Linked DNA regions of Pelodiscus sinensis. The protein of the gene in region 2 purifies or fractionates together with the protein of the main gene of each other region. This does not show direct contact. Links are inferred from orthologs where the notes say so. Each region holds a gene or a part of one and is shown on either strand. Other genes may lie near its edges.

Region 1 (7,166 bases), about 96 Mb from region 2:
AGCAAATTAAAGATTATTCTAAACTAATGGAAGACATTAAGAAATATGAGTAGAATTCAATGTAATGGAGATATCAAACTATGTAGTAATATAGTGATTAGAGGTCTATGACAACACAGACAGTGGATCTCTTATTGAGTAGTTCAACAGGACAGCAATCTGATTTTCAGCATCCTTACTTTTTGATAGTTGTATACTTAATCTTACCCATGTAGGTGATTTATCCTGCTTATATCCATGTATGCTCTTGAATCAGCTGTGATCTTCCCACAAGTCTAAGATCAAGCTTGCTGGATTTTTTAAAGAATATGTGACCTATAAGAAAAACATACCTTCTTCATAGATACTCAATATCTACCCTCCTCCCCCCACAAGAGCTATCCATTTATAAGATATAGACATAAATCTTATATAAGAATGGTCGTACTGGGTCAGACCAAAGGTCCACCTAGCCCAGCAGCCTGTCTACCGACAGAGGCCAGCACCAGGTGCCCCAGAGGGGGTGGACCGAAGACAATGATCAAGCGATTTGTCTTCTGCCATCCATCTCTAGCCTCTGGGACACCAAACAGAGGCCAGGGACACCATTTCTATCCCCTGGCTAATAGCCTTTTATGGACCTAACCTCCATGAAATTATCTAGCTTCTCTTAAAACTCTGTTATAGTCTTAGCCTTCACAGCCTCCTCTGGCAAGGAGTTCCACAGATTGACTATGCGCTGTGTAAAGAAGAACTTTCTTTTATTAGTTTTAAACCTGCTACCCATTAATTTCATTTGGTGTCCTCTAGTTCTTCTATTATGGGAACTAATAATATAACTTTTGTTTATTCACCCTCTCCACACCATTCATGATTTTATATACCTTTATCATATCCCCCCCTCAGTCTCCTCTTTTCTAAACTGAAAAGTTCCAGTCACTTTAGCCTCTCTTCATATGGGACCCGTTCCAAACCCTTAATCATTTTAGTTGCCCTTTTCTGAACCCTTTCCAAGGCCAAAATATCTTTTTTGAGGTGAGGCGACCACATCTGTACACAGTATTCAAGATGTGGGCATACCATAGTTTTATGAGCAGTAAGATATTCTGTGTCTTACTTTCTATCCCTTTCTTAATAATTCCTAACATCCTATTTGCCTTTTTGACCACCGCTGCACACTGTGTGGAAGTTTTCAGAGAACTATCCACAATAACTCCAAGATCTCTTTCCTAATTTGTTGTAGCCAAATTAGCCCCCATCATATTGTATGTATAGTTGGGGTTATTTTTTCCAATGTGCATTACTTTACACATATCCACATTAAATTTCATTTGCCGTTTTGTTGACCAATCACTCAGTTTGGTGAGATCTTTTTGAAGTTCTTCACAGTCTGCTTCTGTCTTGACTATCTTAAACAGTTTAGTATCATCCGTAAACTTTACCACCTCACTGCTTACCCCTTTCTCCAGATCATTTATGAATAAGTTGAACAGAATTGGTCCCAGGACTGACCCTTGGGGGACACCACTAGTTACCCCTCTCCATTCTGAAAATTTATCATTTATCGCTTCCCTTTGTTTCTTGTCTTTTAACCAGTTCTCAATCCATGAAATGACCTTCCCACTTATCCCATGAAGACAATTATCTTTGAAGACAATATTATAATTTCCTGCTGTCACAAGAGATTTTTTTAAATACAGTTGAAACATAGAATTTAAACTGTCATCACCTATATTGCTAACATTGGAAATGACTTCCAGAGGTTTGAAAGGAATCTTACCACATACTTGGATACTCTGACTACTGATTTCTAGCAATGAAGACTAAAGTCTTGTCTACAATACCTCTTAAGTCAATGTAAATTACATCATGAAAAACCCACACCTTCAGCAACCTAATTTACATTGACTTACAGTGGTTATCTACACCACACTACGTTGGTGGGACATGCTCTCCTGCTAACATAGTTCAACCTCTCCTTGAGGTGCATTAATTACATCAACAGGGAAAGCATGCCTCTGTCGATGTAATGCATCTTCATCACATGAGCTAAATGGATGCCACTACATTTATTTCTATATCACTGATATAGCACAGTAGTGAAGATGAGCCCTAAATCTCAGTGAAACCAAGAGAATGCCAACTACTTTCCACCAAAACAATTATTTTGCCAATCAACCTATTTTGCTATTTTATCCAGTTATCACATATTTGGGAGTAAAACTCAACCTAGCCTGATATACCAGCTCCATCTGTAACATCCAACCTGTACTGCCTTGATATGAAAACATCAGGAACCTCCAGGGGAAGAGACTCTTCATTCATACATCTATCTTGGCCCTCATATTTGCTCCAGATGAATACTGCTCAGAGGCTAGAGGTGCAGCCATCACACTCAGCTTGTCCATAGCTAAACTCAGCCATTTTTATTATTAGGGGCTAACTGAAGTATACACTAACCTCCAGTCTGGATGTGCTAGCACACACAGCTCTGCCAGACCTTCAATGAGATGTTTTTACTGTTAAAGTTGCTTGGAGGGCTGTGACAGATGGCACTAGCTGATTACATCTCTGGTTGACATATGCCATATTCTCTGGTAGGAAACAATGCACAGTACCAACACTTTAAGTTCTGCTTATATTTGGGTGAGGAGTTCCACTCTTGTGGACCAGGTGTGACAGCATGGCTGATCTTTTGACACTCCTTTGCCATGGTAGCTCACGTACTTTTGGCCCACTGTTATTGGTGACCAGCTCTCCCAGCAGCTGAAAACCATGTCTTTATAGAGAGGAAGCTTCAGTGGAAAAGACTGTGTAAAACACTAAGTAAACTGAAGAGTCTATCATTGTACTTGTCTTCTTTTTCATTTGATTGTAGATCTTGACAGCTTCATCTAGTCTTTGGCTTGGCTTGGTTTCCTCCTCATGGAACATAGTTGCAAACAATAACTGGTGGAGGAAGAGTACACAACCCACAGTAGTGGGGCAGTATACGATGACTAACATCTCTTGATATAGAGGACATCCTCTGTTTATGGAACCTGGACATTGAGCTCTGATACATGAGGAGACAACAGATAATGGCAAACAAAGGCAAGAAATATACAAACAAGAAGTTATAATTATGATATTCTATTAGAAATAAAAAACTTTCTGAACTGTATCACTTTCATCTTCAACCGGTTTACCAATGAATTAAAATGATAAGGGTTTTTCTTAACTATACCTAAATGGGAGAAATTATGGCCCCATTTAAGTCAATTGGAGTTCTACCATTGACTTCAGTGGGGCTGGACTTTCATTCAATGCAGCTATAAACAAACCATATACATATTTATCCAGTTGAACAAATCTTTTAAAATTTGTCAAAATCGAACATAAGTAGACAATATATTCATGTTAAAAAGTAAATACCAATAAAATATTCAGTTATTCATCAAAATTGTTATCAGACACTTTTATAAAAAATATGAAAAGGACATTTATGATTTTCATATTCAATGTTCCAATAAGTACACTATCACTTTATTTTTTGACTAATAATTTCTACCACATAGCAATTTTGGGTGATCATCTATTATGTATGTGTTCCATAATAGTGTTGAAATAAAAAGAGGTTTTATTTCAACATATAAAAGGGTACATATACACTTGAGGTATCGCGGAAAAACTCCGCCACATCCAAGGAACCTTTTTTCTTTCAGAAGAGCAAACTCACTCTTTCAGGGAGCCCTGTTTTCCTCGTTCTACGAGGGATAAGGGCTCCTCTGAAAGAGGAGGCTTTTCCGCCATTTGGTCCCATCTAGACTGGGCCATATGGTGGAAAAGCCTCTTTCAGAAAAACAATTGAAAAAAACTATGCAAATTGCGGAGTGCAATTTGCATAGCTTTTTCCAAAAAAAACCCCTATATTGTAGACCTAGCCAAAGAGACAAGCTAGCAGCAAAAGGAAAATATATTCTAATTGATAAAGTTATACCATATGCCACATAAGAAAGTCTGTTGTTATTGCCAAAACCAGAAAAGATTAAATGTCCTAATTGATTTATATTATATACTTACCATTAAATCACTGACAATAGTCTAATAATTAATAAGAGTAAAGTGTAAAACATAGTAGCTACTTAGAAACACAACATTTTCCAAAAGCACAACAATCAATCAATCAATCCCACAAAACTAATATTCATACCTTTTTGTTGTAACAAAGCATAATAAAACAAACAGCATCTGTTCTTTTTTCAAATAATAGTGTTCTTAAAATGAATTAGAAAAATTACAATTATGACATTATCTTAATGTCTTTTAAATTCACCTTTGAGCACTATAATTGAACTACTGAGTTTGTCTAACCTTCAGACAATATTTTATAATTATTGAATTAAAAATGGAACTATTTACCTAGAATCTAATTTAAATTATCTATAAAATAGGTACATCTTTTATATCATTGTAGTGTGTTTGTCTTTTTGTGAAGAATCATACCGTGTCTAAGCACCTTCAAGTCCCATTTAAGATGGTAGGAGTTAGCACTCATTATCTTTCAGGAAGAGCTTAGCATAGCACCTTGTAGAATCAGCACTAAAACTTGAATTCTATAAAGATGTAAGCATGTCCTTAAATTCATATACTTTGAGTAATCCAATTGATTTTGAGCTCATGCTTAAGACTTTGAAGGATTGTGGCCTAAGTCTATGTGCCTTTTTCTGTGCCCCTGCTCTAAAATTAATTTGTCCTTGAAATATAGAAGAGCAGTGTGCAAAACTAAATAAAAACAATAACAAGGAAGAGTAAAAGCAAATAGAATGTTAGGAGTCATTAAAAAAGGGTTAGAGAATGAGACAGAAAATATCTCATTGCCTCTATATACAACTATGGTACGTCCACATCACATCTTGAATACTGCGTACAGATGTGGTCGCCTCATCTCAAAAAAGATATATTGGCATTGGAAAAAGTTCAGAAAAGGGCAACAGAAATTATTAGTGGTTTGGAATGGGTCCCATATGAAGAGATTAAAAAGAATTGGACTTTATAGCTTAGAAAAGGGGAGACTAAGGGGGGATATGATAGAGGTCTATAAAATCCTGACTGATATGGAAAAAGTGAATAAGAAAAAGTTATTTACTTATTCCCACAATATAAGAACTAGGGGTCACCAAATGAAATTAATAGGCAGCAGGTTTAAAACAAATAAAAGGAAATTTTTCTTCACTCAGCGCATAGTCAACCTGTGGAACTCCTTGCCAGAGGATGCGGTGAAGGCAAGAAATTTAACAGGGTTCAAAAAAGAGCTAGATAGATTCATGGAGGTTAGGTCCATCAAATGGCTATTAGCCAGGATGGTTAGGAATGTTGTCCTTAGCCTTTGTTTCTCTGGAGGTGAGTGACAGGGAAGGGATCACATGAGGATTACCTGTTGTGATCCCTCCCTCTGGGGCATCTGGTATTGGTCACTGTCAGCAGATAGGATACTGGGCTAGATGGACCTTTGGTCTAATCCAATATGGCAGTTCTTATGAGCAAAAGCAGAGGATAAGAAGAAGGGAGAAGTGATTTACTTATGAGGTTATTTTCCCACAGATCATTAGTGATGTCACACTTATCCCCTCTCAAAAGTAAATTTTCTTTAGGACAGCAGCATAGGAGGGAGTAAGAGGAGAAGTTGCAGATGAGACATAGAATAGGAAGGTTACAACTTTATCTACTATGGATTTTTCATAGATGAGAACTATTGTTTTGATCTGAATGAAATTGAGTAAGAACTATTTTTCTTTACTAATGAAGGACCATCTACTTTTATAATAACTGATGGTAACAACAAAGGTTTATTTTACACCAATTTGCAGGCATCTTTTATTCCTGCTGAATATGGGCCAGATTCTCAGTCCCATTCTGTCCTTTTTGCACTACATGAGCAGTACAAAGGGAACATAATTTGGCCACAAGTTGTCCAGTAAAGAATTATCTTGGTAGAAGGGAAATTGTCAGTTGGCTGTAAAGCTAGCACAACCATCCTTACACATACCTTCCCAGTTGTGGCATAGGGTTTGTTGGAAGGAGGAAGCATGTTGGAGTACAGCGAAGCTCCACTCTTCTATAGGAATTCCCAGGTAGCATGTGCTTCCTTATGGATGATAGCCAGCGGTTGTAACAATACTCAGTTGCTGACATCTGGATTTGTGCTTCTTGTGGATTTAACAAAACAGCACATTGCTGACAGTTTTTGAGACTAGCTGGGATGTCAGTTATATTTTCTTCTTCTTTCTGGAAACAGTCCTCTCAGCCAGAAAGTATATTTTGAAAGCCTGATTTACTCCCAAAATGTCAAGTATTCATCATTTCTGTGATCACTCAGATCAGGAGTAAAAGTAACATAAGTCTTTCAGGACTGCAGATTTCTCTTTTCAGTTTCTAACTAAGCTTAGGAAAATCTATTTTTTTAAAAAACTGTATCCTTTGCAGTCAGCATTCAAAATCCTCATCTTTTTTCATCCAAATGGAAACTGTCCATTTTTCCATACATGCTGTTTTTACATTTCTTTTTCTTCCGCTGAGACCAGAGAGCTCTTTGTAATTGCTGCTACACAGATCGCTTTGCTATTTCATATTGGACCCCATCAAAGAAATCCACTGGGATTTTCTGGTCCCGAAAGCCAATCAACCAAATATGCCTTTTAAATCATCTACATTGAGTTTAATTGAGTCAGAGCAACAGCCACAGACACAAGAAACATAAATTAACACCAAAAATGAGTCAAGTTAGCACAGTGAGAGGGGTCTTCTCCACAAGCTCTGTCCATCCCCATGTCATTCTTGGTTTCAATCTCCAACCCAGATCCACCCACAACTGCTTCCAACTGCCAAGTGCTTAGAACAATTCCAGTCCTTAATGTTCCAGGCCTCAAAGGTGCTTTAACCACACATCTTAAAGTACCACACAACCCACAGAGAACTAGCACATACTTAAAAAAATAATTGGCCACTTCTTTCGCTAATATAAATCATTTTAGTTCTGTTCAGTAGAACTGTATCAATTTAAGCCAGTGGAAGTTCTGACCCACTGTATATTATTTAATTAAACAGTAAACAGTAAAGAATTTTTTTTCACTCTTAGCAATACCTGTACATTTATGTCATACATTTGTTAATGTTTTATGTCTTTTTTGAAGTTTCTAGAACCCCTT
Region 2 (7,694 bases):
CAGTTTAATTACCACACTGACTAATAGAAGCCTCCTGATCTTGCCTGAAGCAAGATTTCAATGGTGCACCCTTAGAGCTAAAAGAAGCTATTTAAGAAAATACCAAACCTGGTTTTGATATAGCTGCATATCCTGCTACCTCTCTCAGGCTCTGCAGCCACTAGACTGTCGATGCAAACCTATATACCTTTTTTACTGTTCAATTTCATATTTCTAATTACTGCACAGCTGTAAGACAATCTGCAAAGCCTGATTAAAGCAGCAACCACACAGTCTTATCAAAAATTGAATGATTAAGTACTAACCCATAAATAAGTTCCAAAAATCCACTCGGATTTAAAAACTAAACAAAAAACACCCACACACTAATGTTACAGCCAACTGAAAGATATGGGAAGAACGAGCCCCATTTTAATGGGGTTAACTGTCCTTGCTTAGTCTTTCTGGAGCATGCAACCAAAGCTTGAGGAGCTTTAGCCCAGGACTTAAGGCAACAGGCCTCTTCAGTCTCCTGCTGAAGCCCCTGGGCTTTGTCTCCTCCCCCACCCGGCCCAACCCAGGGTTTAGTCTGACTCAGACTTCAAGCCCCATACTGGCATCAAACTAACAATTGTTCTTGCACAGAGGGGGGGTTGTGGTGCCATAAAATTTGAGAACCCCTGCTCAATGGGAATATTTGGACCACTATATTAATGCTACAAGATATTTGCATAAATATTTTTCACAAATTACTCCAAACTTAGCTGGAGTGGGGCAAAGCTGAGACAGGGTTTGGGGAAATGGACTGCTAATGAAAACTTGGATCAAGGCACTACTATCATTTGGTATAAGCTACATATATTCATAACACATCTTCAGAAAGTATTATAAGCCAAGTTAACAAGAGCTACTAGAATAAGCAGTGTTGCTGTAAATCATGTTAGAGTAAAGTTGGTCCAATACAAACAAAAACAGTACCTCACCCACACCGTTTACCTATTAGAATATATGACATGAAACTTCTGCGGATCTGAAGGACACTTGCAAGACACTGTAGTTACCAAGGAAACAAAAATATATACAAAACTGTCATTTTTCACCACACAACCAGTGAGACTAGGAAGGAAAAAGAGGTAACTCAGTAGGGGGAACTAGGGTGTCTACACCTTACATTGGTTACGCTAAGAAAGTTTGAGAACATTTTGTGCACAGAACTTCTTGGGGGGCCGGGGAGTAGTAAGCATGACAAGCTTAATTTCAGCACTGAAGCTTTCATGCTGCAGCCACAAGAGCTACAGAACTATTCTGAAGTTTGACATTGGAGTCTCATATTTAAATTACCACATGGTGCATCAAAAATAGCATGTACTTGAGTAAATCAGTATTGTACATGATCCCATGCTATGCCCTGCCTTGGGTGGAACATGGACTCCATTTTCAGACTTCCAGCTCCCCCCTATTATTTACAGTCTTGCTGAGATGTTTAAAACTATCTACACTGTGATTTTAACATGTGTTACCTAGAACATATCTATACTGGGGAGGAGAGGAGATATTACTTTGCTACTGAGATTTGAATGAGAACAGTCTCTTTCCTTAAAAGTACTGTTACAACCTTGGCTAGCATCCTACCAAATAGGAAACTACAATATGGCCAGGCCTACACTATATTGTCTGCAGCAGCATAACGATGTATGAAAGGGGGAAAAAAACATATACCTAACAACTAAGTGGCAAAATCCTCATATAGATGGAACTTTTGCTGATAGAAGAGTGTTTCTAACTTACACAATGTCATGGGGCAGGGCAGGAGAACTTTACACTAGCCTAATGTTTGTAGTGAAAACAAGGCCTAAATGTTACCTGTGGCAACTTAAGCATGTCCAGCTACCTTCCATTTATAATCTCGGTGAGAACGTCTATTTTTGTACAAAGTTATAATAAAAAATACGGTATAAACGAGCTTTGAAGCTTTCAAGAATGTACTTCTCCCACAGCATGAGCGAATCTGCAAGGATGGGGATATGTTGAGCCTCTATTGAGAAGGCAAGAGTCCAGCCACAAGGAATGTGTTTTACAGAACAATACCTACAGAAATAGACAAAGAATGGCCATAACCTGCTGCAAACTGCAGCTTAAGACCTTAACAAAAATGGCGGGAAGAGGTAAAAGAGCAGGAGCTTCAGATCAGCATCCGAGTACTGCGTGCCCGCCAAAAAGTTCATGCGCGTGTGTGTGGGGCGGGGGGGGGGGAGGAGGTTTAAATTCCCCGCTCCCCGCGACTGTTACCCGTACGGGTCTGTTCAAGAGGAGCGGTAGCGGTGCCTCCGCAAGTCCACCTCAGCACCCTCCCAACGGGGCAAGGGCCTGCAATCTCCAGGGTCAGAGCAGCAGCTGCGCGGAGCCCGCCATGTGGCAATGCCGGGAGACAGAGGCACCCGCCACTGGAGAGAGAAGGAAAATGGCGCCTAAAAGCAACAACCCTAGGGAGAGCGATGCCGCCGAGAAAAATTCTGCCTGGCGCTACTGCAAGAACAGGGGTCGGCTTCGCTCGCAAGATCGTAAAAAAACTAGATGCCTAAAGCCCCCCCTCAGCTACCCCGCCGGCTCCCAGCCAAGCTGGACAGGGAACCCCGGTGCCCCCACCCCTACATCACCTCCTGCTCCGTACAGGCTGCCCGCAAGGTAACAGTTACTCCGCTCCGCACACCCTTCCCTCATACCCGCCACCCCTTACTCTTCCGTGGCGGCGCTTCCCTGCAGCAGGGCTCTCCGGGCCTTTCCCGGCAAGCCGGGGTCTATTCCCCGCCATCCCGCCGCCATTTTACCCCTCCCCCTCATTACCGCCATTACCATCTGCGCCTCCCCGGACTGATCCCGGCGCTTCCCAGGCCCGGACATAGACCCGCTTCGCTTACTGCCCTCCATTGTCACCCCCAGAGCGCACGCGGCTCGCTAGAGCGACAGGAGCTCGGTTAAACCGTCTGTGAGGCGGATCTAGGGCTCGCCTCCGCGTGCGCTGTTGCCGCAGCGTGTGCCTCCGCCTCCCTCTGCTGCGCACCAGCCCAACTGCCGCCGGCGCTTCCAGAACCTTCCTCCCCTCTAACGTCTCTACTACGGAAAAGCACCAAGACTCGCCCACTGCGCCACCAAGCGTATTAGCGAACGGGAAGTTCGAACGCCTCCCGCTGCGCTAACAGCGTAACAGTTTTAAGAATATGCCTGCCATGACGCAAGAGTACTAACTCTTGCGAGCCGAAACGCACCTTGCGCAACTGTACACCCGAGACGTGCGCTATTTGCGTACCACCCACCTCATGGCCGGCGTAACCCTTTTTGAGAATACGACCCAACCTTTTTAGTAATGGCTGCCTTGTTACGTATTTTTAAATGCATCGTCAGGCAATGGTCCGTCCGCCCCTCCCTTTCCTCTAACTGTCGCCGGCTGCTTGGACCGCAAGTGGAATTAAATGCTCCCCGGAAGCGCCCGCAGTTCTGCGGAACGCTCCTTTGTGCTTTAGTAACGTAGTAAAAAAGCTCAACAGCTCCGCTAGCAATGGCTGTCTCCGAGAAGAACCGACGCAGGCGTCGTCGTGGACCAACTCCACTTCGGCAAGACCCGGAAAAGCCCGAACTAGCGCGATCCACTTCGGCAGTTTCCGGAAAGAGCCGAAACAGGCTTCCTCGACTACGAAGGTCTCTTCGGTAGTTTCCGACAAAGAAGCGGGAAAGCCTCTCGCGTCCGAATAGAGCCGAAGCTCCCGCTTCGGGTTTTTCCGGAAATTGCCGGAGCCGCCCGGAGACCGATCCCAACAGCAGCAAAAGGACTATAATTAGCCAAAGGGGCCCCCTTTCTCCACCTGTGGTGCTGGCAGAGCGTGGGCAAGGGCCACGGGGCCAAACCCGGAGCGCGAGGAGTGCGCGGCCCTGAGACCCCCTTTGTTGGCGGGGCGGCCCCTTTGCCTCCGGACGCCTGGGAGGAAGTGGCCCGATTTGGCGCCAGCAGCGAGACGCCGCCTGCCAGGCCCGCGAGCGAGGCGGACCCCGCCGTAGCCAGCTTCGCGCACAGCGGCCCCGCAGCCCAGGGTGAGTGGCGGCCCCAGTTCGCCGGGGAAATGGCGCTTCGGCAGCTCCCCTCCCCCCGCCGAGCTCAGTGGGGAAATGGCCGCGGTCTCCCACCACCCGTCTTCGAGGAAGTGGCCGCATGGTCGCTGGGCCCCGGCCCCCAAGCCCCTCTAATGCTCCCCCCCCCCCGGCCTCCGCTCGCTCCCCCGAAGTTCCCCTTCGTAGCCCACCAGCCCCTCAGCCGATGCGGGAGCTCTCCGCGGCCAGCTCGGCCTCTAGGCCCGTCCCGGGGCCGCGCCCAGGCAGGGCTGGCCGTTGGCCCGGCGGCTATGGCGCGCTCCGCTGGGCCCCGGCACTCACCCAGTCGCTCTCTCGGTCTCCGCGAGGCATCTTGCTTCGCCCAGGCGCTCGACGAGCTCGCGTCCCCGTGTTTCAAGCCGCTCTCTGGGAGAGAAGCCTTGGCTGGCCCCCCTCTCGCTCGCGCCTGCACTGGTAGCGACACGGCAGCAGCAGTGGCGGCGGCAGGAGGCTGCAGCTAACGTGTAGGCGGCGTTGTGCGCGGTGCCCCGCCGCCAGCCACCGCGCAGCTCAGCGCTCCCACCCCGCAGCAGCCGCCCCAGCCTCTGCCCCCACCCCCTCAGATGTCGCTGCTGCTCAGTGCGCGCAGGGAGCAAGGAGGAGACGGGAAACCCGAGTCGCCGCCACCGCCAGGCACCATTGAAGTCTGTATCCTTCTCTCTCTTCTCGTTTCCCATTTAATCTCGCCAGGAATTGGGTAGCGCCCAAAATTCCTTGCAGCTGGGCTCGTGTTGGGTGTAATTGCGGAGCTCCCCTCCCCCTCCCCTCGCTGCCCGCCTTTACCTGAAGGGTGGCTACTGAAGGCGGGTAGCGGCGGTGCGGGGGAAGAGGGAGCTGAGCTCCGGGATCTCTAGTGGGTGCTTTGCCCCCATAGGTAGGAGGAAGGCTCTGGGCCCTAACAGGGAGGGGAGCGCAGCGCTTAGACGCTGGGTGCAGCCTGGGGAGAGGCGGAGGGGGGTGCGTTCAGGGGACAAAGCGACGCCGCCAGCCCCGAGGGCGGTTTTTCCACTGTCCGCCCAGCTTATTCTTGGAGCGCAATGGTCGTGTTCGGTGAGGGGGCAACGTGGCGCCGGGAAGGGGCCCTCGTCCTTTTTTGAGAGCGGGTGTGTGAAATGGTGGAGTGTAGGTTTAGGCAACACGCATGACTCGCCGGCTGTTCCCTCCGCCGACTAGAGGCAGGGGCGCAGGGTTTCCTCCTCTGCGTTGGCGTGCAGGTTGGCCCTACTCCTTGCTCAGCTAGTCCCGTTAGGTCACCCGGGCCTCGTATGCGCCCATCACAGGCCTGTGGCGCAGCCATACCCTTCATTCCTGTGCTATGGGCCTTTGTTTCCCTCCTCTTCTCCCCCTCCCCCCTCCAATCGCAATGAATCCTAGATGAAGTGCCCAGCAGCAGGGCCCAAGCCTCTGCCTGTCCTTCGCTGGACTTCTTGGCTACAGTACCACCTCTCGGGCTGCAAGGGGGTGAGAATTGGGCAGGATCGCTGAGTCAAAGCCCTCCTCTGACTTCCATATAGGCTTTTTTTTGCCTTGATCATTTTGTGATTTGCAGGGATGGGTGACTAAATGTATGCCCAAAGAGGTGGTTAGTGTAAGCAACTGCATGGGAAAGAGGATGAGTTTTCTTCAGACCATGTGGTTTTTATGTAATTTATATAGGTTAATTCAATGTATATTTCTTAATTAAGCATTTTAGTCTTCGCATACAGTGTACACAGTTTTGCAGTTTGTATCTGTATTAGCCTTAACTCTTGCCTTCTGATCCATACATTTGCAACATTATAGTTTTAATATTCTGCAGTTTATATTTCCTGCTGTGTCAGGATTACTGGTAACTCACTAGTGAATTATGCTACAGATACTTTGTTGCTAACTAAAATTTCACTTTTGCATCTTGAAAATGCTGTTAAATATCTTAGTTAATTGCTTGAAACTGAACACTTTTCCTTCTTGGGTTTAAGGAAATGGTTCTCCCCACCTCTCTCTGAAACATCTCTGCCTTATGCTGGTAGGACTTTCTTGCAACCTATCATACACAATCAATAGCTAGGATCATGACTAGCATTATGGTGTGTTTGTGCATTCTGCTGGACAAAGCAGTAATCTTTTCTGGATTTAATCCACACTTGACATGTTATGTGCAGTGAACACATGGGGGTTGGAACAAGGACCATGCTTGTATGGGGATGCCTTTTTCTGAGTAACTTAAATTTCCTTTTAATTGTCATGCATTTTTCTAGTAAAGCTCTGCAAGTCTGCAATAAAAATGGCCTCCAATAAAACTACATTGGTAAGTTCATGAGCACCTAAAATATATAAGGATTTTTCTTCAAAATTATAACTTGGCATCTCCATGTAGAAGATACATCCACATCTCTCCTCCCCAGCATTATTCTGACTAAAATCTCAGATCCAGAAACTAAGGCTAATAGAAAGGACATTAACTTTGGCTTAAATAAAACTGCTGTTTTCCAGTGAAAGACTTACAAACAAAACAAAATCCCTTCTCTTTTTAATGGAGGCCTGTGCTCCAGTTCAGCTCTCTGACTTTCAGTGAAAATTACGTTTAATAACCTTTTACAGAAAACACTTGTGATTTTTTAGCCTCCTTTCAGCACCCCATGTAATTCATTGTATATTTAAAAGGGGGGGGGGAAGCATATTCGTTTTAACTTCTCCCTAGCTCCTCAGCTACAACTACGAGTGCAATTACCTAATACTAATATGATGGGGCATAGTGTGGATTGTGGTTAGAGCTGTTAGTAAATAACGATTCAATTGGATTTCATAGGAGCAGAGATTGTTTCCCCTATCTGGACCATTGTAACAGGACTTTGACATGTATCAAGTTCCTATGAAAATTCTTGATGTTAAATTGAGCCCAAAAAACTCTGAAGTTGAAGACACATAAATGCCACAGTAGTTGGCTTAGTATTCATTTAGCTGTGGCAGTACATGTTTGTAAAGGACAACAGTGTGGAAGTCTGTGCTCTATTTACCTAGTAGAAAAATAATAGGCAAATAGTACTTACTGACTAGTATAGCTAGTTTATCCCACATCCACACAAATACTAGTATCCTGTCTCCTGTCCGTTAATTGCCTAGTTATTTTTCACTGGACTGCAACTATATAACCCAGGGCTACTCAACTTTAGAAGACCCTGGGAGCCACAATGATACTCACAGAACATGCCAAGGGCTGCAATAAGTGTGGTTGCATATACATACAAATATATATGCAAATAGTTTCTTTCACACTGACAGGCATGAATACAAAGATTAAGCAAGACTACACAACACACAGGCCCCGTTTAAGTCAGTTCTGCTGACATTAATAAAAAGCAATATTTGCTGTCATATGCGTGGAAATCGGGTACTTTTAATGATCAACGACAGTCCAGGAATTTAACTACTAAAACTCATTTCAATAGAAGACCGTTATATTGACTACTTTTTTGTTTTGGCTCCCACCCATGGGCCGCAAACAAACAGGCCGCCTGTTGAGTAGTCCTGGTTTAAGCAATAACATTGCAAACAAGTTATCAAGCTAAAAAAACTTTTACTGGAATTTAGTA
Region 3 (7,345 bases), on a different chromosome or scaffold from region 2:
GTTTGTTCTCAAATTGTTCTTCACGTATTTCATTCTTGAAAATGTTTGTTCACACAGGTATGTTGTTCCAAAGATTGAAAGGTACCTTGATGCAAAAGTTTTGACATTAGGAAAGTCTTCCTTGGGCAAAAACTGGTAAAAACCCACCAGTCCTATTTTGAACTTGTCCCTAAGGAGGTCATTTGCTTGCAACTCAATGACTTCCAGCTGCAGTTCATCTGGGCAACTGGCCACATCTGCTTCAAATGGGTTTTGAAACAATCTCACTTCTTCTGCCTTTGAATCCAAAAAGGTCTCCACGGGCCGGATGAGAGGGCCTCGCGGGCCGCATCCGGCCCCCGGGCCGTAGTTTGGAGACCCCTGCTCTAAGCAATCAGCTGAACAAGAAGTAGGACTGCATGGACTTGGAGGTACTAAAGTTTTATATTGTTTTGTTTTTGAGCACAGTTATGTAACAAAAAAAATCTACATTTGTAAGTTGCACTTTCATGATAAATAGATTGCACTATGGTACTATCATCAGATTAATTGAAAAATATTTTTAGAGTGCATATATTTTTACTGTAACTACTAAAGTGAGCACTGTATACTTCATAGTCTATGTTGTTATTGAAATGTATATATTTGACAATGTAGAGAAATATCAAAATATTTCATTTCAATTAATATTCTATTTTTCAATATGATTAAAACTGTGATTGTGAATGATTTTTTTATTACAATTTTTTGTGTTAATTGTGTGAGATAACTGCAATTAATCAGCAGCCCTAAAAATTAAGTTATATAAAATAGCCAAAGTATAGTAGCAAGTGCTTACTGATGATTTATAAACCTAAACAACTGATCTACTTAAATTTAGAGTAGGTAATCAATTTCAATAAATCAATAGCTGTGTTCATATGAATTTCCCCACAATAACTGACAGATTAAAATTAGGGCAGAAGCTCCAATGGATAAAATTATCTAATCCCCCCTCCCAAACAAGGTATGAGTGTGCCTTTTAGAGTGATGTATTTCTACCCAGCTCCTATAACTCCAGAATGGCTCAGCTGAACTTGCTTTACTTTTTTAATCCAGGTTTGAGCTCAACCATGAAACTTTTCAATTCCAAACTGGAAAAAAAACAGAATATAAAACTGGTGGGGTGGGGTGGGTTGGGGGGAGAGTTTGAATACAGTGGCCTTGTATCAGAAGGGTCCTGAGGGACATGTGGGGCTCAGGGCAGAAGTAACAAATATTTTATTTCCAGGACCAATCTTGTCACTTTCAAGATTGGTTCTGGAAATAATTGTGCCGGCTTGCAGAACCCCCCGCTCTCTCCCAAGAACATGGCCGGGTGCAGTCACCCCGATTCACCCCAGGGATGGCTCTGCTTTATATGATGACATTCATCTTGCTTGGTCAAAGAGGGAGGGGCACTTTTTTAAATATATTTAATGAAAAATGAGGAGTGGGATATTCCTGCTGCTTGTGAAACAAATTGGACATTATATTTAGCTGAAAAATGCTGAAATTTTATTTTAGTCAGTACACAAATATTCTTTCATTTTAGATCCGCTTCTAATTCCAGATCAATGGGTAGAACAAAATTATGGTTCTGGTTCGGTTCCTGTTAAAATACCAGCTTGAATTTGTTCTTCCGTAAAACACCCCGGACAAAATAGATTATCTGAGCAGTTCAGATGCAATGTTAAGATCCCTAAGTGCTCTGTGGCAGTTTTAAAATGAGCAGCAGAGGGACAGAGAATGATTCTAAGTATCTAAACCAAGAGTGGGCAATAATTTTTGATGGGGGGGCGGGCGGGAGAACACTCCAAGATTTTGGTAAGTGATCAAGGACTGCACTTTTCTATGGAGGGGGTCTGGGATGAAGGTTAGGTGTGGAAGGGAGCTTGGATTAGGGGGTTGGGGTGCAGGACAGGTTGTGGGGTCAGAAAGGGAGTTTGGGTGAAGGAGGAGATTGTGACCTGGGGCAGGGTTTTGGGGTGTAGGGTCTGGGAGGAGGTATGGTTATGCAGGAGAGAATTCTGGCCTGGGGCAGGAATGTAGGAGGAGGTGCAGGGTCTGGGAAAGAGTTGTGACCTGGGGAAAGAGGGGAGAGGGAGTGCAGAGAGTTTGGATGGTGACCTGGGGCAGAGAATTCGGATGTTGGAGGGGCTGGGGTACCAGAGGCAGGCTGTGGCCGGGAGGCTCTTACCTAGGCCACTCCCAGCCAGCAGTTCTGCAGGACCCTGAGGCAGACTCCTGGGAAGGGTTGGGGTGAGGGCTCTGGCTGGAGGTGCGGGCTCCAGGTCTGACCAAATATCAGGGTTTGAAATGCAGGAGAGAGCTGGGACAGGTGTGCAGGAGGGAATGGGGACTCCAGCTAGTGGTGGGGGTTCTGGGTTGGGGCCAGAAATGAGGGGTTCAATGTTCAGGCAGGGATAGAGGGTCAGGGTGCAAGATAGGGTGAGGAGCTGGAGGTGCATGCTCTGGGGTGGGGCTATGGTTTGGGGTGCAGGAAGGGGCTGGGGAGGGAGTTCTTGGCAGTGTTCTCAGGTGGTCCAGGGAAGCTGCTGGCATCTCTCTCCAGCTCCTGCACTGAGACAGAACCACATGGTTCTGCATACTGTCCAAACCTGCAGGCAACACCCTCTCAGCTCTCATTGGCCATGGTTACTAGCCAATGGGAGCTGCTGAGCTGGCGCTGGAGGCAGTGCGTGGAGCCCCCTGAGCTATCCCTCCACCTAAGACCCAGAGGAAGCTGCCCGGCAACTCCTGGGAGCACCATGGAACCAGCTACAGAGCCTGCCTGCTCTGCCAACCAGACTTTTAATGCCCACCCATCAGCAGTGCTGACAGGAGCCACCAGAGTGGGTGTTCCAGTCAAAAACTGGACTCCTGGCAACCCCACCACAACAGACAGAGCCAGTCTTAGGGGTGGGTGAGCTGGGTGTTACCCAGGGCTGCCATTTTCAGGAAGACCACATTTTGGCCTGACCTCCCGAATGCCCCTGGTTACTCCCCGACCTCCCCCCCCCTTTTTTTTTCCTCAACAAATTTTTGTCTGGTATATTTTTTAAACCATCTGGCAACCCTATGGGCAAGCTGGGTGGTCGCCCAGGGCTGCCAATTGGTTAGGACCAGGACCGTGACAACAGACTGTACTCAAGCATATCACTAATATAAACTGCATTCCCCAAAGGAAAGTGCCTCAGAGCCCCATTGCAGAGAGGTTATGGAAGGAACCACAGCAAACCTCTCCCCTGCTGCTAAGAGAGCCATTAAGGCAGCAGTGCAAATACATTACAACATTGCTTTAGTTTAGATGGTCTAGGCCAGTGAGAAGAGTGATGGAAATGTAGCCGTGTTAGTCTGGTGTAGCTGAAACAAAAAACAGGACTATGTAGCACTTTAGAGACTAACAAGATGGTTTATTAGGTGATGAGCTAATAAGTGGGTCTGGCCCATGAAAGCTCATCACCTAATAAACCATCTTGTTAGTCTTTAAAGCGCAGCATAGTCCTGTTTTTTGTTTAGGCCAGTGAAGGCCAACTTTGCCTTGTGAGGGGCAGCATGACTGGCCCTCTTTTGTCTCAGGGGGCTACAGGATAGTTGTAACCAAGCCAGTCTCCCGGGACTGGGTCGTTTCACTAACTGCACTTGCACACGCAGCATTTGCAGGGCACCGATCGAACCGAAGCAGCAGGTTGATTGGCTGCAGAAGGAGCCGGGGGCTCTCAGTGTTGTGTGCACTCAGCATGCACCTCATTGCACGTGCCCCTCACTAGTAACACCCACAGGGGGGAACCAGCAGAATCCCAACTCCAGGGTGCAACGGCAAACAAAATGGCTCACGGGCCACACGCCCGCCCCGCTGGGCCACAGGCTGCTCCAGGCTGCGTAACGGGCCGAGGGGAAACCCGGCAAAGTAACACGCGGGGCGGGGCGGGGCGGGGCGGGCCCCCCTGCAGTGGCCGGGCCTGTGCCGGGAGAGCAGAGCCTGCCCGGGCGGAGCCATTTCCCGGCACCGATGCGCCCCGGGGCCCGGCGTCTCGCTGCTCCGACCGCCTCAAGGCGCGGAGGGCGGGGCGCGTGCCGCCACCCCGCCTGCGCGCGCACTGCCAGAGCTCCGCCCCCCCCCTCACGTGCACGGGGCTGTCGGGAGAATGACGCAGCCGGAAGGAGAGACCGTGCCCGGGCGGGGCAGTAACCTCTCCGGCCTCCCCGTGGCTTCCTTCCGCCAAGCTACCGGGCTTAGCGAACTACAACTCCCAGAACGCCCTGCGGCGGGAAGGCGCTCTCCCCCCCCCCCGTTTACTGTGTCTAAGCAACCTGTCGGGGGATTGGCCAGCAGGGACGGGCCAATAGGCTTTTCCGGTGCATGGGGGACAGTGAAGCTAACGCGCTCGTGGCTAGCGTGTGATGCCCGGCCGTGGGGCGGGGCCTGGTCGGGGAAGGCAGCACGTGTCCGGCGCAGCTGCTCTTAGCCGGGCGCGGGGAGCCATGGAGCTGGAGCCGGAGCCGGGCGAGGTGAGCGGCGGGGCAGAGAGATGCTGCGTCCCCGGGCCCTGCGCGCGCCCCGGCGCCCCCCTCTCGCCCCGCGGGACTCCGGGGGCCCAGCGCTGCAGCCCGGCGGCCCCTGTGAGACGCCCCCATCCAGCGCCTTGCCCAGGGATCCGCGTCGGCTTCCCGCTGCCCTGGCGCCAGGCTGTGGGCGGGGAAGCCCGCTCCGCCCAGGGGCTGGGCACGGAAGGATCCTTCGCAGCCGCTTTCCTGAATTCAGTTTGTAAAAGGGTCTGGGTCGCGGTGCGGCAATGGGCCCGGCTGGGGGTAGACCAGGCTCCTGGAGCGGTGGGACTGCACTCAGTGGCGCCTTCGCTGTCGGCTTTTTGGTTCTTCTACCCCATGGCCGTAGGTGTGAACGGTGCTCCTGACACTGCCTCTGGGGAAGAGTTCAGACTCGGTGGGAGCAGCCTGAAGCCCTGTGTTCCTTAATACAGTGTTTCTCAAACTGTGCTCAGCGGCTCCGTGAGGGTGACAAACTAGAAACATTGATAGGTACAAATCATATAATCAGGGGTCCGCTGGGGCGCTGCATACATTTTTACGCATGTAAAGTGCTCCAGAGCCCAAAAAGTTTGAGAACTGCTGCCTTAATACAGTAAAATTCCGATAATCTGGCACCTTTAGGACCCAGGGGGTGCTGGATTATCAGATTTGCCAGACTATCGGAAGGGGGGGCTATGAGGGGTCTGGGGTGGGGTGGGATGCCACCTCAGACCCCTCATAACCCCCCCTTCCGATAGTCCGGCTCTGCCCCAGGCGACCCCGATTCAGCCGCTGCTGGTCAGTTTCAGCAGCGGCTGAATCGGGGATGCCTGCAGCAGAGCAGCTGGACCTGTGGCGCGGCAAGACCAACCCGGCAGCACCCCAGCTGCTCTTGGGGATGCTTGGGGCAGAGCAGCTGGGGTGCTGCCGGGTTGGTCCCGCAGCCCTGCTCCTCGGCGCTACTGGACCAACCCGGCAGCACCCCAGCTGCTCTACCCCAGGTGTCCCCAAGTCAGCTGCTGCTGAAATTGATCAGCGGCTGACTCCAGGAAGCCGGAGGCAGAGTTACTCTGCCCCGGGCTTCCTGGAGTCAGCCACTGGTCAGTTTCAACAGCGGCTGAATCCAGATGCCTGGGACAGAGCAGCTGGGGCGCTGCTGGGTTGGTCTGGTAGCGCCAACCCGTGGCACTACCAGACCAACCCTGCAGCACCCCAGCTGCTCTGTCCCAGGTGTACCCAAGACAGCCGCTGCTGAAACTGATCAGCGGCTGACTCCAGGAAGCCGGAGGCAGAGTTACTCTGCCCCGGGCTTCCTGGAATCAGCCCCTGATCAGTTTCAGCAGCGGCTGAATCGGGGACAGCTGGGGTGCTGCCGGGTTGAGTCCTGCAGCTCTGAGGGGCAGCACTACGGGACCTAACCGGCAGCACTCCAGCTGCTCTGCCCCAGGCTTCTCCGATTCAGCCGCTGGTCAGTTTTAGCAGCAGCTGAATTGGGGAAGCTGGGGGCAGAGCAGCTCCAATGGTCCGGGTGCCTGGAGCACTTCCGGGTTCCTGATGGTGCCGGACCATCAGATGCCGGACCATCGGAGTTTTACTGTAGATCATTTTTACTCCAAGGCAGAATCTGTTTCTCTGTGTCCCAGCATGTATGTGATTGTTCTTATTTTGGGGAGGGAAGAATAGGGAAAGCAATGTAAAGTACAATGTTTGGAGGCTGAAGTTTTGCTCAGACCCTAAAACAGGGCTACTCCACTTTGGAAGCCTTGAGGGCCACAATGATACTCACAGCACATGTCGAGGGCTGCAACTTAAGTGTGGTTGCATATACATGCAAATATATGCAAATAGCTTCTTTCACACTGACTGGCACAAATACCAAGATTAAGCCTTAAGCTGCGGCACCGGACCCAAATGTGGCCAGTGTAAACCAGTCAGCACCTCTCAGGCTCTGCCCACAAGGCTAAGCAACCAGCACTTCCCACAATGCCCCGGTGCTCCCGGCACCTCCTCCTGACACCCTGTTCTCGTCTGTTCTAGCCAGCCCGTCTGCTTGCATCTTTCAGTGCTCATCCTGCCTGGGAGATGCCTTGCCATTGTGGAGCATGTTCCCAGTGGAGGCCATGTTCAAAGGATCCCACCCATGGGCCATGTGTTGAGCTCCACATAAACCCAAACCACACTATGGGCTGTAAACAAACGGACTGCAGCCCGTTTGTTGAATAGCTGTGCCCTAAAAGCGTATGCCACTAACTTACCACCTGAGAGCAGAAAAGGGCCAGTGACCATAAAAACAAGTGGTCCTGTGGCACCTTAGAGAATATATAGAATCATGAGCTTTTGGGGGCAAAACTTCATCAGATGAATTGGAGTGGAAATAACAGAAACCTATATAGATAAAAACACATCAGAAGTACCACCTGTCAGTTGTAGGACCTATGTTACTGAGGCTAATTAAATGGACTGGATGTCTCCCATACGTAGCTTTTGATGTGGAAATGCAGATGTTAATGACAGAAGAAATTGGCTTTGTAATGCACCAGCTAGTTAATGTCTTTGTTTAGAGTAAGGTAACAGGTGCCAAATGTATAGATGAATTCCAGTTTTGCAGACTTTCTCTGTAATTGGTTAGTGAAATTCCTTTGTAGAAGAATGGCTACTTTTAAATCCTTGATTGAGAGACATGACGGGTTTTATGTATGTTACCATTTCTGATTTCCAATTTGTGTCCATTTATCCTTTGTCGTAGAGACTGTCCAGTTTGGCCAATATACATTGCAGAGGGGCATTGCTGGTACTTGATGGCATATATCGCATT
Region 4 (6,965 bases), on a different chromosome or scaffold from region 2:
TTCCCTAAGAAGATTTTTTCCTGTGTATTTCAGAGAGACATTTGAACTTCATATTTTTTTAAACAAAATCCAGATTGTAAATGGTCCCCACATAGATTAAAGATTCTCAGAGACACTCGCCACAAAAAGGTCTACTTGTTTTCATTCCAGTGACTCTTCAATATATATCCAATGTATTTTATTAGGCCCAGTGTCTAAGTCATGGAAAGTCACAGACTGAGAAAGAAATGGATATCTGAGAAAATGGTATTATAATGCTGGAAAGCATTATGAGTACCACACAGTTGGAAATGATGCTGTGAACCATATTAAGCTGGTGGGTCACATAAATCTCAACAAACTAGAGGACCTAGTCTTTGTTTTAGGCCTTCTTAACCAATCTGCTATCCTAGAATACAAAATTAATTATGTAAATATTATGAATACATCAATATCTTAAACACATCAGTGAACTGAATAATTGATTCACAGCATTGCAATACATTTTTCTTGGTAATCAAAAAGCCCATAGGAGGAAGGGATTTCAATTGATATTACATAAATACGTGAGCATGATTTTAATCTAGTATTATATCTATTTGTACCACTTCTTCTTTGTTCTTTTCATCTGGGTTCTACTTTTGAGTCTTTTGTTCTTTCTCTGGGGATCCTTTCCTCCTTGAAGTTCCTATGTAAATCCTTCTCTTTAAATACACACAAGAAAGTGTATTTTTCTGTATCTTGAAAACCCTGTAGAGGGGATTCTAAATGCAATCTGAAAAGTGAGGGACACATGAACATTTGACTTGTGGTTTGGAAATTTTTGTGTTATATTTTGGAGTGAGCTGAAGACAAGTGGTATTGTGATGCTTTTAGCAAAGGAAATACTTTGGGAGATGGGAGTTGCAAAGGGGGTGTACAACTACTTTTTAGGGCTTTGGCTCAGAGGGTGAAGTGGGATAGAAGGGCTGCTGTGATAATCAGGGTGGTGTGTGGTTTTTTGTTCTTGATGATTACTTGGCAAGACTTCTCCCTCAGACTCTATAACACAAAATTGGGCTGGGAAGAATTGCTGTGAACCAGGAGGCTGTCCCTTTGCTCTTTCTACATCAATTTCCAAGTGGAAATCCAGAAGATTGCATGATGCAAGCTACACATTACAAAATCACAATGAAAACATATGAAGTTGTGACAGAGCCAACACTTATTGAAGTCCTCGAAAGTGGGTGCTGGGAACCAACATTTGAGCCTTTAATTCTCCCAAGGTGGAAATGTTGGGTTAAAATTAGAGGATTAGAATCAACTAGAGGAGTGGAGACCAATGAGCAAACTGGCCCAGTAACACAGAGATATAAAACAACACGGGAAGGAGATGTAGGAGAGGGAGACAAACTGGCAGGGCCAGAACCAGGAAAGATCTCTGGGTAGAGATCTCTTCTCTTGCCTCTCCTTTGCACAGCACTTAGAAGAAAATGAAACTGTAAAAAATATGGTGCATGGATCAGTAGAGTAGCAGGAAGAGAAAATGTAAATAAAACTGCACTGTGGTGTTTAACAACTAACAGTCTCTGAGTCTGTGTAGACAGAGCGGAAGACGGTAGCAAGATGTTCCCCACCACAGACCTGTTATATTGCAAACATTGCGAAATGTGATCACTGACGCAGCAAGCAACTGTTATTTCCAATGATAATTTGTCATGAAAAATATCAAGAGCACAATGACACTCATGTGCACAATGATAACAAGATAAATGATGAAGTATTAAGAATAATAAAAATACAATTTTAAAAAGTAAATAATTAAAAGAAATGAAACTATATTATAGGAGATTACAAGTAAGGGCAATCACAATAGCACATAAGATAAATCTGTAAATTACTGCATGAGGCTTTATGCAGACTTACATAAAGGATTCTTTTAAACACTAAAAATATGAAAATTACAATTATTTAGGAATTATGCAAGTAAAATAGTTAACTGAATCAGGTCTCCTTTGGCAGCTCAAGACAGCCCAGGTGTCCCAATGCCTAGCTAAATGATATGTCTACACTGGCAAATTGTTGCGCCAGAAGTATGCAAATGAGGCTAAGCGTGGAATATTGCCGAGCCTCATTTGCATATCTAATGAGCCGCCATTTTTGCGGAAGAGGCTCTTGCGCCAGAAGGAGCTGTCTACACTGCCCCTTCTTGCGCAAGAAAAACCCTCTTGCGCAATGCCATTATGCTGATTATTTTCAGGAATAACGGCAATATAACAGGTCTGTGGTAGGGAACATCTTGCTACCGTCTTCCACTCTGTCTACACAGACTCAGAGACTGTTAGTTGTTAAACACCACAGTGCAGTTTTATTTACATTTTCTCTTCCTGCTACTCTACTGATCCATGCACCATATTTTTTACAGTTTCATTTTCTTCTAAGTGCTGTGCAAAGGAGAGGCAAGAGAAGAGATCTCTACCCAGAGATCTTTCCTGGTTCTGGCCCTGCCAGTTTGTCTCTCTCTCCTACATCTCCTTCCTGTGTTGTTTTATATCTCTGTGTTACTGGGCCAGTTTGCTCATTGGTCTCCACTCCTCTAGTTGATTCTAATCCTCTAATTTTAACCCAACATTTCCACCTTGGAATGCCGTTATTCCTGAAAATAATCAGCATAATGGCATTGTGCAAGAGGGTTTTTCTTGCGCAAGAAGGGGCAGTGTAGACAGCTCCTTCTGGCGCAAGAACCTCTTCCGCAAAAATGGTGGCTCATTAGATATGCAAATGAGGCTCAGCGATATTCCATGCTTAGCCTCATTTGCATACTTCTGGCACAAGATTGCGCCAGTGTAGACATAGCCCTGGTGTATAAAGTGGCCACTAACCTTGTAGCCAGGAAGGCTAACGGCATGTTGGGGTGCATTAGTACAGGTTTGTTTTCCCTGTTCTGGCATTCTTGGAACCTCGCCCGTCCCAGACAAGGGAGTTTTCCACCAGGACTCCTCTCCCCAGCTTCCTGGCCCTGCAAGATGCAGCAACCCTGCCTGAGCTCCTGGCCTGTCAAACTGAGGCAGTCCCACTGGAATTCTGGCAGCCTTACTAGAACTCTCAGCAGCCCTGCTGACATCATGGCAGTCTCGCTGTCCCACACAAGCTCCTGGTGCCCCTGCTAGCTGTGGGCTGCACTGCCACATGACCTCCTGCTCCCTTGTTGGCTTCCCTGCCCCGCCGGCTGCAGGCTCTGCTCCCCGCTGGCTCTGCTGCCCCTGCCAGATGGCTCCACTCTGAACTGCCAGCAACCTCTGCTGCTGGGGCTCTCCAGTCCCGCAACATCTGTGGTCCTTTCAGACCATGGATGTTGCTGAACCAGAGAGTCCTAGACCCCAGAAGTTCAACCCATACAACCATTGCCAACAGATCTAGAGAAGTGATTATTCCCCTTTATTCGGCACTGGTTAGGTCACATCTGGAGTACAGCGTCCAGTTCTGGGCCCTCCACTACAGAAAGAATGTGGATGCATTAAAGAGGGCCCAGTGGAGGGCAATGAAAATTATTAGGGGGCTGGAACACATGACGTATGAAGAGAGGCTGAGGGAATTGGGCTTATTTAGTCTACTGAAGAGAAGAGTAAGGAGGGATTTGATAGTAGCCTTTAACTACCTGAAGGGGGGTTCCAAAGAGGATGAAAGAGGCTGTTCTTAGGTGTGACAAATGACAAAACAAGGAGCAATGGTCTCAATTTAGAAACACTATTTCACTAGGAGGGTGGTGAAGCACTGGAATCTCCATCTTTAGAGGATTTTGAGTCCCAGCTTCACAAAACTCTGGCCGGGATAATTTAGTTGAGATTGGTCCTGCTTTTACCAGGGGGTTGGACTCGATAAGCTCCTGAGGTCTTTTCCAACCCTATGATTCTATGTTAGTGGAATAAAGGACATTTTAGCACTTCCTGAAACAGCATGAGCCTGATCTACCTGTGACTCCACCCTTGCCAGCATGACAAAATCATACTGCACTGGGGACACCATTTTCAAAGCGAGTTGCTCCATCCTCACTGGCATGATCTCGCATGCATTGTGTGTGAGGTCATACCACACAGGGGGACACCATTTTCAAGAGCGAGCTGCCCTGCCCTCGCTGGCTGATCTCACATGGATGGTGAGTGCAAAATCATGCTGCATGAGGGGCAAAGTCTGCAGAAGCGTGCTGCGCTGCCGTGCCCTGGCAGGCAGCACATGAGGCTGTGATGGCGGGAACAGAGCAGTGTAGTCTGCCCTGTCCGATACCAGGCAGAACTGGACGTTGTCTTGTCCCAATACAGGATAGGTGACAAACCAGCCAAAAAGACAGAGCTGGATGGGTGGCCTCCCTGCATGTGTCTGGAGGGCCACAGCACTGTAAGGGGGGTGCAGAGACCTGCCCCCCATCTCTCCAAACAGCTGCTCACCCCTTCTGTGGTCGCACTTATCCCCTTACTCCCCCTCTCCCTGCCACAGCCTTGCAGCGCCTCTCCCAGAGGCAGGCTCCCGCCCTCGCCGTTCCCTGCCTCCAGCTGTTTGCTCTGCCCGGGGACTCAGTTTACTCCCCTCTGCTCTCCCCCACCCTCGCCGCCGCGCTCTCTAACTCTCCCCTCCCCCACACGTAAGGGCAGAGTAAGGGCACTGAGCGGCTTCAACAGCAGCTATTGAGCCCGCGCACGCTCAGTAACGGCTAAGCGGCCGTTTGCGCCTGCGGGGCGGGGCGGCAGGATATTGATCGCCGCTCTCCGCCCTGGGAGGAGAGACAGGCAAAGGAGCGCCAGGCGGCAGGGGCCGGCGGTCGCGGCGGCAGGAGACAGGCGAGCGAGCGGCGTGGTGGGGCTCGCGCTGAGGCCAGCCCTCGCTCTGCGCTCCGCAGTCGGAGGCAGGCGGCGCTGCGGCGAGACTCGGGAAGATGAAGCAGGAGGGAGCCGGCCGGGGAGCCGCTGCCGGGCTCGGCGCGGCTGCGGCGTGGGGCGCGGAGGGCGAGGCGGAGAAAGTTGTCTACTCCCGCTCGCAGGTGTCCTTCGCCGGCACCAAGGCGCTGGGCGACGCCTTCAAGCTCTTCATGCCCCGCTCCACCGAGTTCATGAGCTCGGACTCGGAGCTGTGGAACTTCCTGTGCAGCCTCAAGCACCAGTTCTCCCCGGTCATCCTGCGCAGCAAGGACGTGTACGGCTACGCCTCCTGCCGGGCCGTGGTGCCCGAGCTGCCCCCGGCGCCGGCAAAACGGCCCCGCCGCGGAGCGGCCCGGCGGCGCCCCCTGCCCGCCAAGCGCAGAGCGCCCGGCCGCGCCAGGAAGGGGAGGAAACGCGCCCCAGCCCTGCCCGTGCCCGCCGGTCCCCAGGGCAGCGAAGCGCAGCGGCCCCGGGAGGAGGAGGAGGAGGAGGAGCAGGCCGGCCCGGCCGAGGTGCCCGCGTGGGCTCCCCTGGGGGGCCAGTCCCTGGAGGAGATCTGGAAAGCGGCCACCCCCAGTCTCACCACCTTCCCCACCATCAAGGTGCGGGGCAGCGTCTGGAAGCCGCGGAGCTTGGAGGCGGCGCGGCGCGAGGCGCAGCGGATCCTCCGAGTGGACCTGGCGCCCGTAGTGAGGATGCGCCGCTTCCCCGTAGCCAGATCGTGAGACGCTGCCCCGCCTGGAAACTGGGGTATCTGGAGGGGAGGCTCGTTTTCCTCTTGGGAGGAGCAAGCAGAAACAATTGTCAGTCACCTGTTTACATTGCTTTTGTCTGGATCTTGTCCTTCTACTGCACTTTATGGCTCAGACTGATGGGACCCTTTTCCTCCAGAGAGCCATGTCCCTGCCCACTCCATCCTGGACTGAGAACCTGGTTGGCCCCCAACACCAGTGTGGCTACCACCCTCACCTGGACTGAGGCTCTTCTGTTTGTGTTTCTTAGTAGGGCCAGGATCCTTACCCGTTATATTTCAGTCTGAGAACTGTTTGGCAGGCATCTCAAGTAGGGACCAAGGTCTATTTCCTTCCTTCCACTTTCTCCCATGGGACTACCTCACTGGTCTGGAAGTCCACCCAAGAAGTTATTTTCCAAAGGAACTTGCTATCATGCTTGTATAATAAAGCACCATCTGACTCTTGTTTCCTTTTTTCCTCCCTAATACATTGGATTATGTATGTTTTTGTGATGTTGCACTAGTATGTGCTCAGGGTATCTTGAATCCCAAGTGTTCCCAATTTCAACTGACTGAAGCTTTGACCAAGGATGCAAAAAAACAAAAAGGTTCAGAACTAATGGCTGTCTCAATGGTGCAAAAGTTTCCTTGGTGATCTATAAAAGGGTGTACTGTGTAGCATATTTTTTTGTATCTAAAATCATTTCTAAAGTTTTATAGCTGAATTAAGTATTCATTTTTATGGAGCATCAGAAGCCAGTTGAATCACTCTTATTTTATATAACTGTCTACTTCAATGACACTTATTTGGTCAATGTAAGTGAATTTAATAAAAGTGAAAGAGCAACTAATGCTGTTTCAGTACATTGAAACTAACCGCAAAGGGATGGATAGCTTGTTGGATAGTTAAATACACCATCTGGAATTCAATGAAACAAGCAAATTGTTTGGCATATTTACTTCTCTAGTAAACCCCAAAGTTACCTAAGCTGAGGAATATTTATTTGAAATTATGTGTTTAGGAAAAAAACTGATTACTAGAAGGCAAGCAATATAATGCTAGCTAGTAATTAGTTAAAGTGATCAAATATCAGAATTTTAGATTTATGTAAGTGCCTTGTTAATAGAAGTAACAATAGTGTGGTAGCTAGTGCCTTCTTAGTTAAAATAGCACAGGCTGTCACTTCAGTGTCTAGTGGTGGATGTTCATATTAATTCCTTTGAGTATTGTTTTAAATCTGCTGCAGCTAAAATATGGTATGCACTGGACTCAGAGATTGTTAGTTTATAGCTTGTTTTGACTGAAGCTTTGTGTGTTGGCTGTCTTGTGTTGTACAAATGCCCACTTTCAAGGCAAACTA

Evidence for each region.
Region 1: the proteins of CBX3 (region 2) and ADNP2 purify together in Homo sapiens (affinity purification with mass spectrometry; 3 studies listed by BioGRID and IntAct, with this or other methods). This does not show direct contact. The link is inferred for Pelodiscus sinensis from reciprocal best matches to the Homo sapiens genes CBX3 and ADNP2.
Region 3: the proteins of CBX3 (region 2) and L3MBTL2 purify together in Homo sapiens (affinity purification with mass spectrometry; 5 studies listed by BioGRID and IntAct, with this or other methods). This does not show direct contact. The link is inferred for Pelodiscus sinensis from reciprocal best matches to the Homo sapiens genes CBX3 and L3MBTL2.
Region 4: the proteins of CBX3 (region 2) and CCDC71L purify together in Homo sapiens (affinity purification with mass spectrometry; 3 studies listed by BioGRID and IntAct, with this or other methods). This does not show direct contact. The link is inferred for Pelodiscus sinensis from reciprocal best matches to the Homo sapiens genes CBX3 and CCDC71L.

Annotation. Positions count from the first base shown.
Region 1 is NC_134712.1:100,918,286-100,925,451, reverse strand, and holds the start of ADNP2 (activity-dependent neuroprotector homeobox protein 2), read right to left. Parts: upstream 3,009-7,166; 5' UTR 2,440-3,008; intron 316-2,439; 5' UTR 208-315; intron 1-207. UniProt on the Homo sapiens protein: May be involved in transcriptional regulation. May play a role in neuronal function; perhaps involved in protection of brain tissues from oxidative stress. May be involved in erythroid differentiation.
Region 2 is NC_134712.1:197,287,313-197,295,006, reverse strand, and holds the start of CBX3 (chromobox protein homolog 3), read left to right. Parts: upstream 1-4,685; coding exon 4,686-4,766; intron 4,767-4,825; exon of another isoform or gene 4,826-4,996; intron 4,997-6,359; exon of another isoform or gene 6,360-6,385; coding exon of another isoform or gene 6,386-6,409; intron 6,410-7,694. Other genes in the region: HNRNPA2B1 (heterogeneous nuclear ribonucleoproteins A2/B1), read right to left, coding at 2,833-2,907.
Region 3 is NC_134711.1:89,383,003-89,390,347, reverse strand, and holds the start of L3MBTL2 (lethal(3)malignant brain tumor-like protein 2), read left to right. Parts: upstream 1-4,322; 5' UTR 4,323-4,404; coding exon 4,405-4,512; intron 4,513-7,345. UniProt on the Homo sapiens protein: Putative Polycomb group (PcG) protein. PcG proteins maintain the transcriptionally repressive state of genes, probably via a modification of chromatin, rendering it heritably changed in its expressibility.
Region 4 is NC_134711.1:26,194,397-26,201,361, reverse strand, and holds CCDC71L (coiled-coil domain-containing protein 71L), read left to right. Parts: upstream 1-4,708; 5' UTR 4,709-4,888; coding exon 4,889-5,596; 3' UTR 5,597-6,456; downstream 6,457-6,965.